Linked DNA regions of Coturnix japonica. The protein of the gene in region 1 interacts with the protein of each later gene in a pairwise test. Links are inferred from orthologs where the notes say so. Each region holds a gene or a part of one and is shown in the gene's direction. Other genes may lie near its edges. The genes, in order: SUPT20H, MAPK14 and ATXN1.

Region 1 (3,525 bases):
TTTTGAAGGCTTTAGTGTTATCCACTCCAAAAGAGGAAACTATGCTAGGCTGACATTAACTCAGGCCCAGTATGATCATTGGTTTGGGGTTATTTTTGTTTCTGGGCTTTTTTTCTATCTCCATTTTAAGGTGGAAAAATATGCCAAAGTGGAAAGTTCTATCAAGCCTGATGACTCGCAACCAACTGTTTGGCCAGCACACGTGAGTAATTTAGGTCTTTGGCCAAGCTCTTCTGTTCCTATTTAATATGTCCCTTATTTCAATAAAGTCTAATGATTACTAACCAATGTAATTAACCTAACGTGCTACACATTTGGAAACATTATTACAGAAACTTGTAGTTTTATACACAACCTCATACATATGATTAGTGTTGTAATTTCCTCAGGTTTACCAGAAACACAATGGAAAGCAATTTTAACCTCCAAAGGTTAAAGGTGCTGTCACTGTATAGTAAACAAACATAAGAATTTACAGGGAGCAGTACTCCAGTCACCAAATCACTTTCTTCATGCAGATGCTGTTTCAAAAGAGATTATGTAATATTAAATACCTCTTACAAAAAGCCCTTTCTGTTATGTTGAAGTTAAGCCTTAAAATTTGGTGCAAATTGCATGATTTGATAAAGAAAGTTCATTTTAACATAATTACTAGCAAATCAGTTCATTAATTCTTTCTAATTAACAGCATCTATCAAATGCCTTTTCAGTCTCATGGCAGGAAACAGTAAAACTTCCTTATAGAGCTTCACTTTCATCTCTGCCATTTTATTTAGAATTCTTGTTTTTGCACTGCTGCTGTTTTTATAATACATTGTACATACATATACCCAGTCATCTGTACAACATCTGACATCATTGCTTTAATGTTATGATATTTATTATTTTCCTCTTTTTCCTCCTAAATTTTGTTTTAGCACAAACATCCCTTCTCATAATTTGTTTATCTTTTGTATTGCATAGGACTGGCTTATTTTACTGGCTCTCTTTTGCTACTGTTTTTGTAATATTTATTTGATCTTTTTTTTTTCTTTCCTGTCTTCTAGGAAGTAAAAGATGATTATGTGTTTGAATGTGAAGTTGGTAATCAGCTGCAAAAAACAAAGCTGACCATTTTTCAGTCTCTTGGCAATCCGTTGTACTACGGTAAAATCCAGACACTCAAAGGTGATGATGAGAGTGACAGCTTATTAGTTCCACCACAGTAAGTTGTGTTCTTTTAATCTGTGCTATGATCCAGCAAATGAGAGGCAACAAACACTACTTAACGTTTTCTGGCATGAGAGCATTTAGGATCTAAAAATCTGATTCAAGAGTTTTTTTTGTTTTGAATATTTCAGTTAATAAACCTCATTTAAAAAAATATGAGGAGGAAAAAAAAGCTTCTATTAACATCATATGTTAAATGTTCTTTTTTAGTAAGTCTGAATGTTCTTGTGTGTTAAAGGTATGTTTTAAGAAAAATCCCCTGTTGAGAAAATCCTTCTTCTCATGCTGCCAGACGTGGTTAGCGTGTATTTCACAATGGCTATCACAGTTTTGATCATTGTGATGAAATCTGCCAGATGCTGTGAAAACATAAGACTTGGTGATAGGATGAGGTGAAATGGCTTTAAGTTGTGCCAGGGTAACTTAAGGTTGGATATCAGGAAAAACTTCTTTACAGAAAGGCTTGTTAAGGTTGGAACTGGCTCCCCAGGGAGGTGGTTGAGTCACCATCCCTGTTTTTGGATGTGGTGATCAGGGACATGATTTAGTGTAGAGTTGTTAGGGTAGTATGGTTAGATTGTGGTTGGACTTGATGATCTTTAAGGTCTTTTCCAACCTGAGCAAGTCTATGATTCTGTGATTACATTTACCTAATTAAGGCTAAACAAATGAAGGCAGTAAACATGAGCTCCCAAAGTTTAGTCCTCTTTGTAATACTGGTTTGAACCTGCTATTGTTGGCTTCAGTTCTTAAAAAGGCTCTCAATTCTTAGTTCTTCTTGTTGTATGTGACACGACTTTGCATGGAGAAACCTGTGCAGCAGAGTAGGCAGGGAGCAGTTAGTCTGTGTAAACTTCAGGTTAATTTAAAAAGAAGGATTTTTATCGTTGTCAGGTATATAATTCCTATATACAGCTCTTTTTGTTAAAATCTAAGGTTCTTCTCTTTCTGTACTTAATACTGATCTACTTAGAACAACAGATCTAGTTTGCAATTGTATAATAACAGTAGGAGTGAGGAGGAGGAGTTGTTTTTTTTCTTAAATTGAAACAGTAACAGAGCTGAAAGGTAGTTTGCAAACCAGAAGCATTAAACTAAAGAAAAAAGCTTGATTTTGGAAAATGGTGGGAAACTGAAATTTGGACATGTGAAATCAAATAATGGAAACCAAAGGTTGAATTCCTACAGATAGGTCTGGTTTTGACATACAGACAAAAGTGCTATATGGGTATTTCTGTATTTCCAGGTTGGTATGTTCATTTATTGTTTTCACAGAAGCAATGCTGTAGTAGTTACTCGCTTCCATTTCTTTTAAAGAAAAAAAGTTCTATATTCTACCTTTTACTTTGTGAGTAATTTGAAGGCATCTGTATTAGACAGCATATGAGTGTTGTACCCATGGTTACAAAGCTAAGTTTTTATGCCAAGTACCAAATAATACCCAGTCCATCAAATAAGTAAAGTATCTCTTGTGTCTGAGAGTCTAAAAAGAGAATAGCATCGATATTCTTTCAGGGTTCATAATTATAAAAATCATACTCTTTTCATGCAGTTCAGCACTTAAAATGTTTCTTACCTTTTTACATTTCAGATTCCTGATTGGTTCCAAGACTGATGCTGAAAGGTAAATTGCACGTACAACAGATATTGTGTATACAACCAGCTGACTTGATGCCAAATAATTCATTTCGTTCTTTCTTGCCATTATGACTGTTTATGTTGTATTTCTGGAAACGTGCAGAACAGATAAACAAAATAAGAATTAATTACTATGAGAATTAGTAGGAGATAGCCTGCAGTTCCCACATTTAATGAGCAAGGAAATAGAGAGGAAAACAAGTGTGCAATATGGCTTGTCCCAATACCTAAAGATTCAATCATGTTGTTCGTTGTTTGCATGGTTATTCTCAATCACTCAAGTAATGATAAAATTCCGAGAGCTCTAACAAAAATTTCCATGTCAGACACTGTTCTGTCAGACTTGCCCTTCTGCCATCTGTCACACAGCAAGGAAATACAGTGGAATATCAATGAGAAGGTTTAGCCTCTACTGCAATACCACCAACATCTGCCTCTGATGTCATGGGCCAACAATAGAAGTATTACTTTCAGAGCAGCCCTTGTAAAACATATATGATAGCTAACGTACAAATGTAACAAAACTTATTTTAATCTTCAATATTTTGTATAAAAACATTACAAAAAGAGCAACAAAACCAAAACTAGTGGGATATTTGTGAAAGTAATGCATCAGTCTGGTCCAGTGTAAGCAGTTGCCATTCTTAGTGAGCTCTTAGGGTGTTCATCAGAGACCTT
Region 2 (4,266 bases), on another chromosome or scaffold:
TCAGATTAGGTAAGATGTAAGTTCCCAAAGTGAATATTGAGTAAGAAGTCCAGTGAAAGAGCAGATCTAATCCAAAGTTCTCATACTGACAGCTGAGGTAGAAAGAAAACTCAAATCCAGAGTTACCAACTGAAAGTACAGAGACAGCATAGGAAAAAGGCCATGCCATGCAGAAAGGCAGTTTTTAGCTATTGACAGAGGGAAAAAAAGGAAAATGAGAAGCATGAAAAGGCAGTAAGTGAGCAGAAAGTCATCAAAACGCAGTATAAGTAACAAAACCTGGAGGGAAATAAATAAATATGTTTCCTGAATGGTTGGGATCCCTTTGTACAAGTCTGGCGTTTCACATCACTGAGATACACCACTTCTAATAGAGGAGCCTGGCAGCCTCCAGGCACAGCCACCAGCACACACAGCCCAGTCATTCTAACAGCAGCAGGCAGCCCGCAGGCACGTTCGATTCCTAGTGAATGGTTTGTTCCTCTTTTTAAAAAGGAGATACACAAAGGCCTTCCAGAGTTTAAGAGACGTTTTGTTCATGAGCTCTGCACACCCAGTACAAGCTGCTGTTTGAGCAAAATCACCTTTTTTCAAGTGAAGGTAACACAACAAAAAAAGTTAAAAAGAAACTTGAGTTCCAGCTGTACCAGCTCAGCTCCCCAAGCTCTGTGAGACCCCCAGAGGGAACGGGGCTTGGCCTTACTGAGGGCTGTGGCAGTTCAGCCCAGGCCTGCTGCCTTAGGTCATCGTTCTCATCAATGTGCATATTTTGCTTAAAGTACAGCGTCAAGGTGACAAGACAAAGCCTCGCGAAAACGGCACACGGACTGTGGCGCCGTGACATCTCCCTGCGTGAGCACAACCCCCTCACACACCGCACTCGTGGAACACTTGAACGCAGCGAGCCCGCCTCTCGCCTCGGCCCGTTCTCGCGAGAGCCCCTCCGCGCCGCTCCGCATTGCCTCCATATTGGGGCATCTCTGCCCACGGCGCCTCAACTCTCGCGAGAACGTCTGGACTGAACCCTAGGGCCGCAGTGGGGAGCGGGGAGGCGGAGCGGCCGGGTCGGCCCAGCCCGAGCTGCTCCGCTGGGGGCGGGACGGGGCCGGGGCCTCGTCTTTGCCGTCCTACCTGCGGCCGAGTGCCTCCCCCCGGCCTTCCCTATCGGCCGATCCCTCCCTCACCTGACAGGGCAACCCACCCCTCGCCGTGCGGAGGGAGAGAGAAAGGGAGAGCTGTGTGTGCGGGGAGGGGGAGGCGGCGGCTGAGAGGAGGGGACCGGGGAAGGAGCAACCGCCCCGCGCGAGGGCTGGGCCCGGGCAACGTGAGGCGGGGGGGCGCGGGGCGGCGGCCAACGGTCGGTGTGAGGAGAGGGCGGTGTGAAGGGGCGGCGTGGGAGGAGCGAGGCGGGGAGAAGGGAGGAAGGAAGAAGGGAGGGGAGGAGGAAGGAAGGAAGGAGGGAGGGAGGGAAGGAGGGAGGGAGCTCTGCTGCTGCAGCTGGAGGTGCTGCCGCAGCCGCGGGCACCGCCGCCCCCTCCCGCCGGGCCGGGCGGGGTGGGCTCCGCAGCCGAGATGTCTCAGGAGCGGCCCAAGTTTTACCGCCAGGAGCTCAACAAGACGGTGTGGGAGGTGCCCGAGCGCTACCAAAACCTCTCCCCGGTCGGGTCCGGGGCCTACGGCTCCGTCTGGTGAGTGGCGGCTGGGGGTGACTCCGGGCCGGGTTCTTCCCCGGGCACCGCTCGGCCCCGGGCGCCGCTCCGCGCCGTTCTCCCTCCGCCGCAGCCGGCAGCCCCGAGCATTGCAGCATAGGGCAGGTGGCACCGGGACATTTTTGCAGGGGAAGATAATCGCGTCCCAGCCCCCGGCGTGATCTCATTTGGGCATATTTCGCGGTGCCTTCTCGCAGTTGGGAGGTGGGGGTGGAGAGGATGCGGGCTGGCAAGGCCCCGAGCTCCGCAGAGCTCTGCTGGCTCAGTTTCCTTCTCGACCCGGAGGATGGATTATGAGCCGGGGGCTGCAGGGAGCTGCTGCGTCCCCGACGCCTGGCAGGGGCTGCAAGAGCCATTTTAGCGGCTGTGTGCGGTGAGCGCGGCGTGCGCTGCCTGCAGGAGCAAAGCCTGGGGTCAGCGTGCGGGAATAAGGAGAGCTCGGAGCTGTGCTCGGTTTTTAATGCTTGCCTCGTTGCATCGCGTGCACCGCTTGGGATTTCTCTGCAAAAATGTATTGGATCGTGAAATGTAAATCAGTGGGGCTGATGACATCGCTTAATCGTAAAGATGAGGTTGTGTCTGGATTGACGTTCCGACTTGAGCAGTCGCTTAGAGGTTTATATAGCAGCATAGGCTGCTAAACGATGTTTTTTGCTCTGTCAGTGTGATCCGAGTTCTCATACGGGTGTGTAACAACTGTACATCTGTTCTGCTTCTGTCTCGGAGCAGGCGTGCCTATTTTTTTCGTTAACATAATGTACAAGTTTATACCATGACTGTCATTTATATTTTAAGGAGCAATGCATGCTGACCTCTATCAGAAAAAGGAGTTGCTTTGTGTGTGCTGCAGTTTTAAAGAAGTCAAGTTCTCTCCTGTTCTGCTGTCAGGAACCTCTGCTGAAATAACACGTTTCTTAAAACTGCCGTGTCCCAAGTATGTAAATGCTTGTATGTCATAGAAGACAGAGCCTAACCAGTTACAGTACCACGGGTAGCCAGTATATCTTCTGATTTAGTCAGTTTTTTAATAATTAAAGGGTTTAGTTCTGGTGAAAGAAAGGGCTCAGTGCCCCAGCTGATAAATGCCCCTTTAGCTGCTGTGGTTACATAACTCCCTCGGTGCAATAGGAAGTGGATTTACTCCATATCTGCTGTATTCAGGCCGGCCTTATGCAGTGCATGCAGCCCGTTCCTCTTCTGTTCTCCACCTACCCATGGTCTGTTGTGTACTTAATGCTTCCAATGTTTGTTTTCACAACCAATTACTGAAGACTTTGCATCATGAATTTCCTGTAATGCTGCCTCCGAACTTTCAAAGATTGTGCAACTGTGTTCGGCCTGGATGGATCAGCTCTGCTTTGGAAGCAATTTCAGATGTACGGCATGTGCATCTTAGCATAGCTTTTTTCAGGGTTTTCTTTGTGTCCTACCAAAAACATCTTTCTGAAGAAGTACTGCTCAGACAGACAAGTAATAGTGTGCATGTATAATTAACTTCGTAATGTAAAGCTCCAGACAGTGATGTGTGGCATTGAGGGCATTCCTAGCATGGCTTGTTCCACTCTTTTCCTTTAGAGAGATTCTTCCCTCTTCCTTCTCCTGCTCTGGGAAGATGTTCCTGTCTTTGTTTCAGACTTGGAGTTTGAAGTGCCCTCTGTTTTGGGACAGCGAACTGCAGGGCTTTAATCAGCCTTAAACAGAGTGCATAAATACACTCCTGTATGTCTACAGCACTGTTAGATTAGAACATAATGATACACTTTATTTAGGTGTCCAGATGAGAGATATAAAAAGGGGGACTTTCTAGAAAGTGGAGGAAAAATTAACAAAAGAATTAAGCCTGCAAATGAATCAATTAGACTGTGCAGTGTCTGCTGCAGTCTGCTTTAAATGTCCATCTCAACTTGGAGCACCGTGGTAGAAAGTCCTGACTGAAGTTTTTGCAGTCAGTGGATGGAGAATGTTGTTCTATGCAGGCAGCCAGAGCGTGTCCTTAGTGTTGGAGTAAGTGTTCTTGTGTCTTCTGGTGCACGGTGAGGATGTTCAAACAGCCAGCTCAGGTATTTTTCAGTTTTTTTGTTTTGTTTTTTTTTAACTGAAAATATGTGGAAATTAAAGTAGGGCTTTGGTGCTAAAATGCCGAGAAATGTCTATATGGACTCTCAGATCATTCATCACTAAGCCATGTTAACAATTGCAGTGACATCTGTTGTGTGAAGTGATAATGCCTTCTTGCCGGAGTTTTGCGTATTCATCTAAGTCTTCTGCATTACAAGAATTCTGTCTAAATCAGTAACAAGGTCTGCACTAAAACATGCGGGTTACTGAAATGTCAGTCCTGCATACTGTGTGTGAGAGAGGGGTTGGTGCAGCATCTTGCAGTGGGAGCTGCTGGGCTGCCTGGGATGGGTGAGCAGTGAGTTGTGGTTCAGCAGGGGGTTGGCAGCTGCTGGTGTCTGCAGGCAGCATTAGTTCACCCTTTGTAAGCAAATGGGTGCTCTGATGCTTGTTGCAATTAGCTTATAAAATGTGAAGGCAAATTTGGTGTGCTCCAAGC
Region 3 (4,313 bases), on another chromosome or scaffold:
GCCTGCTCGTCATTTCCAGCTGTCTCCAGCCTCTGCCTCTCTGCCACGGTTCCTTTTGTTAAATCAATGAACCTTGCATTAGCTGGGTGAGGATATTTTTGCTGTCTGCCACATGGCTGTGGATGCACCATCTCGTTGCTGAGTGGCACGGGCATCCAGACATCCGGGCCTGCTGCTGTCCCCAGAGTGCTCTGAAACAGGCATTCACTTTGGGTTATGTAGCAAACCTGATCTGGAGAGGTAGAAGTTGCACTGTTAAAATATGCTTGTGCTCATAAAGCCGGTCTATAAGACAGTACCAACTCTCAGTCATGAGCTGTGCAGATTACCATGTTGTTAGCACATTCTCTAGGAAATATAGAGGACGAGTACAGTCATTCATAGAAGGGACTGCTTTGCTGATCTGCATACTGACAGAGCCCTAGGGTCTTTTGCATCCAGACTAACGCTAGATCCAATGCTGAAACACAGCGGTACTACCTGTGGACACACACGTGACACATCGGCACTACAGACATCTGCTCGGAGCTCACAGCTGTGCTGGGGGGGGGGGATTGGAAGAGGCTCAAACAACAGCCCGCTCTGGGCAGCCACGGCACAGGGAGCGCACGTGCTGCTCTCGGAGCCCTTCTGGAGCTGAGACCCAGCCTTGGGGGTTTATGCAGCATTTCGTGTGGTGACTTTGGGATGGGGAGAGGCTTTCCCGGCGCCGTGCGTGCCTTCCTGATGCCAAAGCAGAGCGAGCGGTTCCCTGCGCGGCAGTCGGGTTGCCAGCAAGCAGAGCAGACGCCGTCCCGTGCCTGTGTTCCTCCCATTCATTTATTCGGGGAGAGGCGGGCAGTGGTCTGCGCGCAGCCGGGAGAGACGAGCGAGGATTGTGCCGGAGCGCGTACGAGGAGCGCAGCGGGAGCGAGTACCCAAACATGCGTGGTGCAGCCCTGCCCGCCTCGTAGTGCGGCGACGGAATGAGTCAGAGCCTCTTTGGTCTGAATGAAGTGGAAGGTACTCTCTACAAAGCAACTCGAGCATACGCCAAGGATCCGGAAAAATAAAACTAATTCAGAAAACGGGAGTGGGATGCGGGCTCCTGCGCTACGACGCTTTGAACGGCAAAACGCAATATGGCATCTTAAATAAAATCACCCTCCCCTGACTCTCACGGCGCTGCCTCCGAGCCGTCCCTGGCTCGGGTTTATTTCCTCCCTTAGCGACAGCCCGGCCGAGGCCGCCGCTCCCGCATCCTGGCCCCGCTCTGCTCCCCCCGCTGGGCAGCGCGTCCCTCCCGGTGCCCGCCGGTGCGTCCCTCAGCACAGCGGGCGTCGGGGCGAGGAACGGCCGGGCTGGGGGGGTAAAAAGGGGGGAGGAGGAGGAGGGCGGCTCGGCCCCGGGCGGCCTCCAAAGGGTTAAGGCCGGCGGCCCCGGCGGTGCTGAGCGTATGCAATAATCTGTGTGGCTCTCTTGGCCGCCCGCCAGAGTGCTGCCTTGCCTCCTCCTCCTCCTCCTCCTCCCCCCCGCCCCCCCCTTTCGCGTGAAGTAGGATCCTTGAGCTGTTGCAGAGGCAGCCAACTGCTCCATATTTGGCTTCTATTACACATTTACATACTGGAGAGCGGAGCGGCAGCGAGCGCTGTACTGCAGACATCATTTCTACTACAGCGCCGGAGCAGCCCGGAGCGTGTCCCCGCGGGGGAAGGAGCCCTCACTTACACACACATACACACGCACACATATACACACACACACACACATACACACCCGCAGACCCCCACCCCGGGAGGACGGCGGTGCTCGAGTCTCAGTCCGACCCCCCCCGCCAGCCCCACCTCCACTGACACTTTACAGTAAGTGCCTTTTTCTTCCTCCTCTGCTTTCTGCCCCTCCACCCCCCCCGCTCCTCCTCCTCCTCCCCCGGCTTCTCCCCTTGTTTGGGCTGCGGAGCCGCCCGCGGTTCCCGGCTGGAAAAACACGGGGCTGGGGGCGGCTCTGTGCGTGTATATGTGTGTATGTGTGTGTGTGTATATGTGTGTGTGTGTGTGTATATGTGTGTGCGGGGGGGCAGCGCTGCGGCCCGGCCTCAGGGCCCGGCCCGGGCGGGGGCCGCGACATGGCCGAGGGCAGCGGCCTGGGCCCGGGGCCGGGGCTCGCACGGCCCTCCCGCTCCTCCTCCTCCTCCTTCCTTCTCCCTCACCCCGCCGGCAGGGTGGACATTTTGCGAGCGGCGGCCTCGGGGTGTGTGTTTGTAGCCGGGTGTGTATGTGTAGATGTGTGTGTGTGTGTGTGTGTGTGTGTGGCGGTGCGGTGCGTGACGGGGTGGTGACACGGCCCCTCCGTGTGTGTGTGTGTGTGTGTGTGTGTGTGGGAGAGAGGAGGGGGGGGGCCGCGGCCGGGCCGCACGGCGCATGTAGTAGGGGCTGGGCGGCCGCTGAGGGTGAATGAAGCGAGCGGGCGGCGGAGGAGGCGGCGCTGGGACGGGGATGTGGCCGGCGGCCGCCCCGCGCCGCTGCTGTCGGGGCCCAGGCCGCCTGCGGACAACGCCCGGTACCGCCGCCGGGGGAGCGCGGGCGGGAGGGCCGCGGGGCAGCGCCACTTTAACCCCGGCCGGAGCTCGGGGTCGGGTCGGTGTCGTTCGCTATTACCCCACCCCCACCCCGGTAGGGACGCGGACGCCGCGATCCGCGAGCGCGATTCCTGGGGGTATCGAAGTCTCAATTAAACGCGCTGCGAAACGTCAGCGCCCGCTGTAATAGCGATAAGAACGCGACGGAGCGGGGAGCGCAGAGGAGGAATTACCGAGCGGCACTGACGGAGGAGCAAACAAGTCGGAAGCCGTTATATAATGCGGGGAGCGGCGGCTGGTTGGGCGCCGCTGACCGCACGGAGCGCAGCGCCGGGCCGAGCCGTGTGGGGGGACATCCCGCTCGGTGCCGGGCGCCGCGGGCTGTTTGTCCGTCCGTCCGTGCGTGCGGCGGCGCAATGAGGGCTTTTAATTTCGGTTTCGAGCCCTTCCGCGGCGGTGCGGGCCCGGGCCCTTCACGCAGCCCTTCGGAGACCGCCCGGCCCCGCTCCGCCGAACGATGAGAGAGCGCTGCTATGGCAACAGACAGCCCCGGCCGCTCAGGTGTGCGCGCCGTGAGCCCCGCCGCCTCCGTGCGGGGTGCGGGGACAGGGACGGGGGGAGGCACCGCACAGCGGCTCCGTCAGGGCGCTGCGGGAGCACGGAAACTTTGCCGCTGCTCCTCGCACCCAGCCCGGCTCCGTAGGGCCGGGAATTGTTGGTACCGCTGGGAACGTGAGCAAGGAGCTGTGCGCTGAGGGGCAGCCGGCTTCCTTTGCCCTCGGTGAACAAACCCGAGGGGGCATATCGTATAAACATCGCCACGCGGCTCGTTGCTGATATTCCGATTGATACCACTTTGCGTTTGTGCTCGTTAACATACAGCAGAGAGCGAAACTTTCCGCCCCGTACGGCGTGTTGCCGTGTTGGAGCGGGCAGTGCGGCTCCTGCCCTCCCGGAGCAGCTCATGCCGGCCCTTCCCCTCGTTGCCCGCACACGGGCGCAGGCGTCGCTTCGTGCAGGCACCGAATGTGGCGCTGAGTCGTAATGCCGCGGGCCTGGAGCGGCTCCAGGGGCTGCTTGAGAGCCGCGCACACCGTGTGTATATCTGGGGTAGCTCCGCTCGTTGGACTCCGGCCAGGCGCAGAGCAGAGTAGCAGAGCTCAGGCGCTGATCCGCTGCCTGCAGCCATCGTTTTCCCAATATCTTACCACGGCAAAAAGCAACGTGGGATTTTTTTTGCCCCCTGGAGGTGCCGCGTTAGCCACGTGCGTCCACGCTGCTACGGAGCGCAGCCCGGAGCACTTCGCATCTCGGCGGTGAGAAGCTGCCGGCACCGTGAAGCACACACACAATCACAGCATCACAGAATGACCCGGGTTGGAAGGGACCTCAAGGATCATGTAGTTCCAACCCCCTGCCTGGCAGGGCCACCAAACATACACATTTACTAGATCAGGAGCACCGGAGCTCCCCGGCAGCCCCTGGGCAGTGCACGGTGCCGGCAACTTCTCACCGCATCTCTTCTCCCTGCCCTGCTGTGATTTACTCGGAGAGGCTGAAGGAACCGGTCTTTTATTGTAAGAGACATTTACAAGAGGCCTGGAATTGCACTTAACGAACATTTTTATGTAATAGATCCAGTGGCCTAGTTTCATCTTAATTAAGAAAATAGACGTTAGATGCGCTCACCTGAAAAGCAACTGATTGAAACATTAGGATGCGAAAGTATTGGTCTCAGAGCAAAATGAAGGGCTGA

The links.
Region 2: the proteins of SUPT20H (region 1) and MAPK14 interact in binary tests that used the Homo sapiens proteins (3 or more experiments, as listed by UniProt). The link is inferred for Coturnix japonica from reciprocal best matches to the Homo sapiens genes SUPT20H and MAPK14.
Region 3: the proteins of SUPT20H (region 1) and ATXN1 interact in binary tests that used the Homo sapiens proteins (3 or more experiments, as listed by UniProt). The link is inferred for Coturnix japonica from reciprocal best matches to the Homo sapiens genes SUPT20H and ATXN1.

The regions. Positions count from the first base shown.
Region 1 is NC_029516.1:154,070,782-154,074,306, forward strand, and holds part of SUPT20H (transcription factor SPT20 homolog), read left to right. Parts: intron 1-130; coding exon 131-202; intron 203-1,046; coding exon 1,047-1,204; intron 1,205-2,800; coding exon 2,801-2,833; intron 2,834-3,525. UniProt on the Homo sapiens protein: Required for MAP kinase p38 (MAPK11, MAPK12, MAPK13 and/or MAPK14) activation during gastrulation.
Region 2 is NC_029541.1:520,342-524,607, forward strand, and holds the start of MAPK14 (mitogen-activated protein kinase 14), read left to right. Parts: upstream 1-1,443; 5' UTR 1,444-1,572; coding exon 1,573-1,688; intron 1,689-4,266. UniProt on the Homo sapiens protein: Serine/threonine kinase which acts as an essential component of the MAP kinase signal transduction pathway.
Region 3 is NC_029517.1:67,238,640-67,242,952, forward strand, and holds the start of ATXN1 (ataxin-1), read left to right. Parts: upstream 1-1,501; 5' UTR 1,502-1,841; intron 1,842-2,371; exon of another isoform or gene 2,372-2,615; intron 2,616-2,646; exon of another isoform or gene 2,647-3,118; intron 3,119-4,313. UniProt on the Homo sapiens protein: Chromatin-binding factor that repress Notch signaling in the absence of Notch intracellular domain by acting as a CBF1 corepressor. Binds to the HEY promoter and might assist, along with NCOR2, RBPJ-mediated repression. Binds RNA in vitro.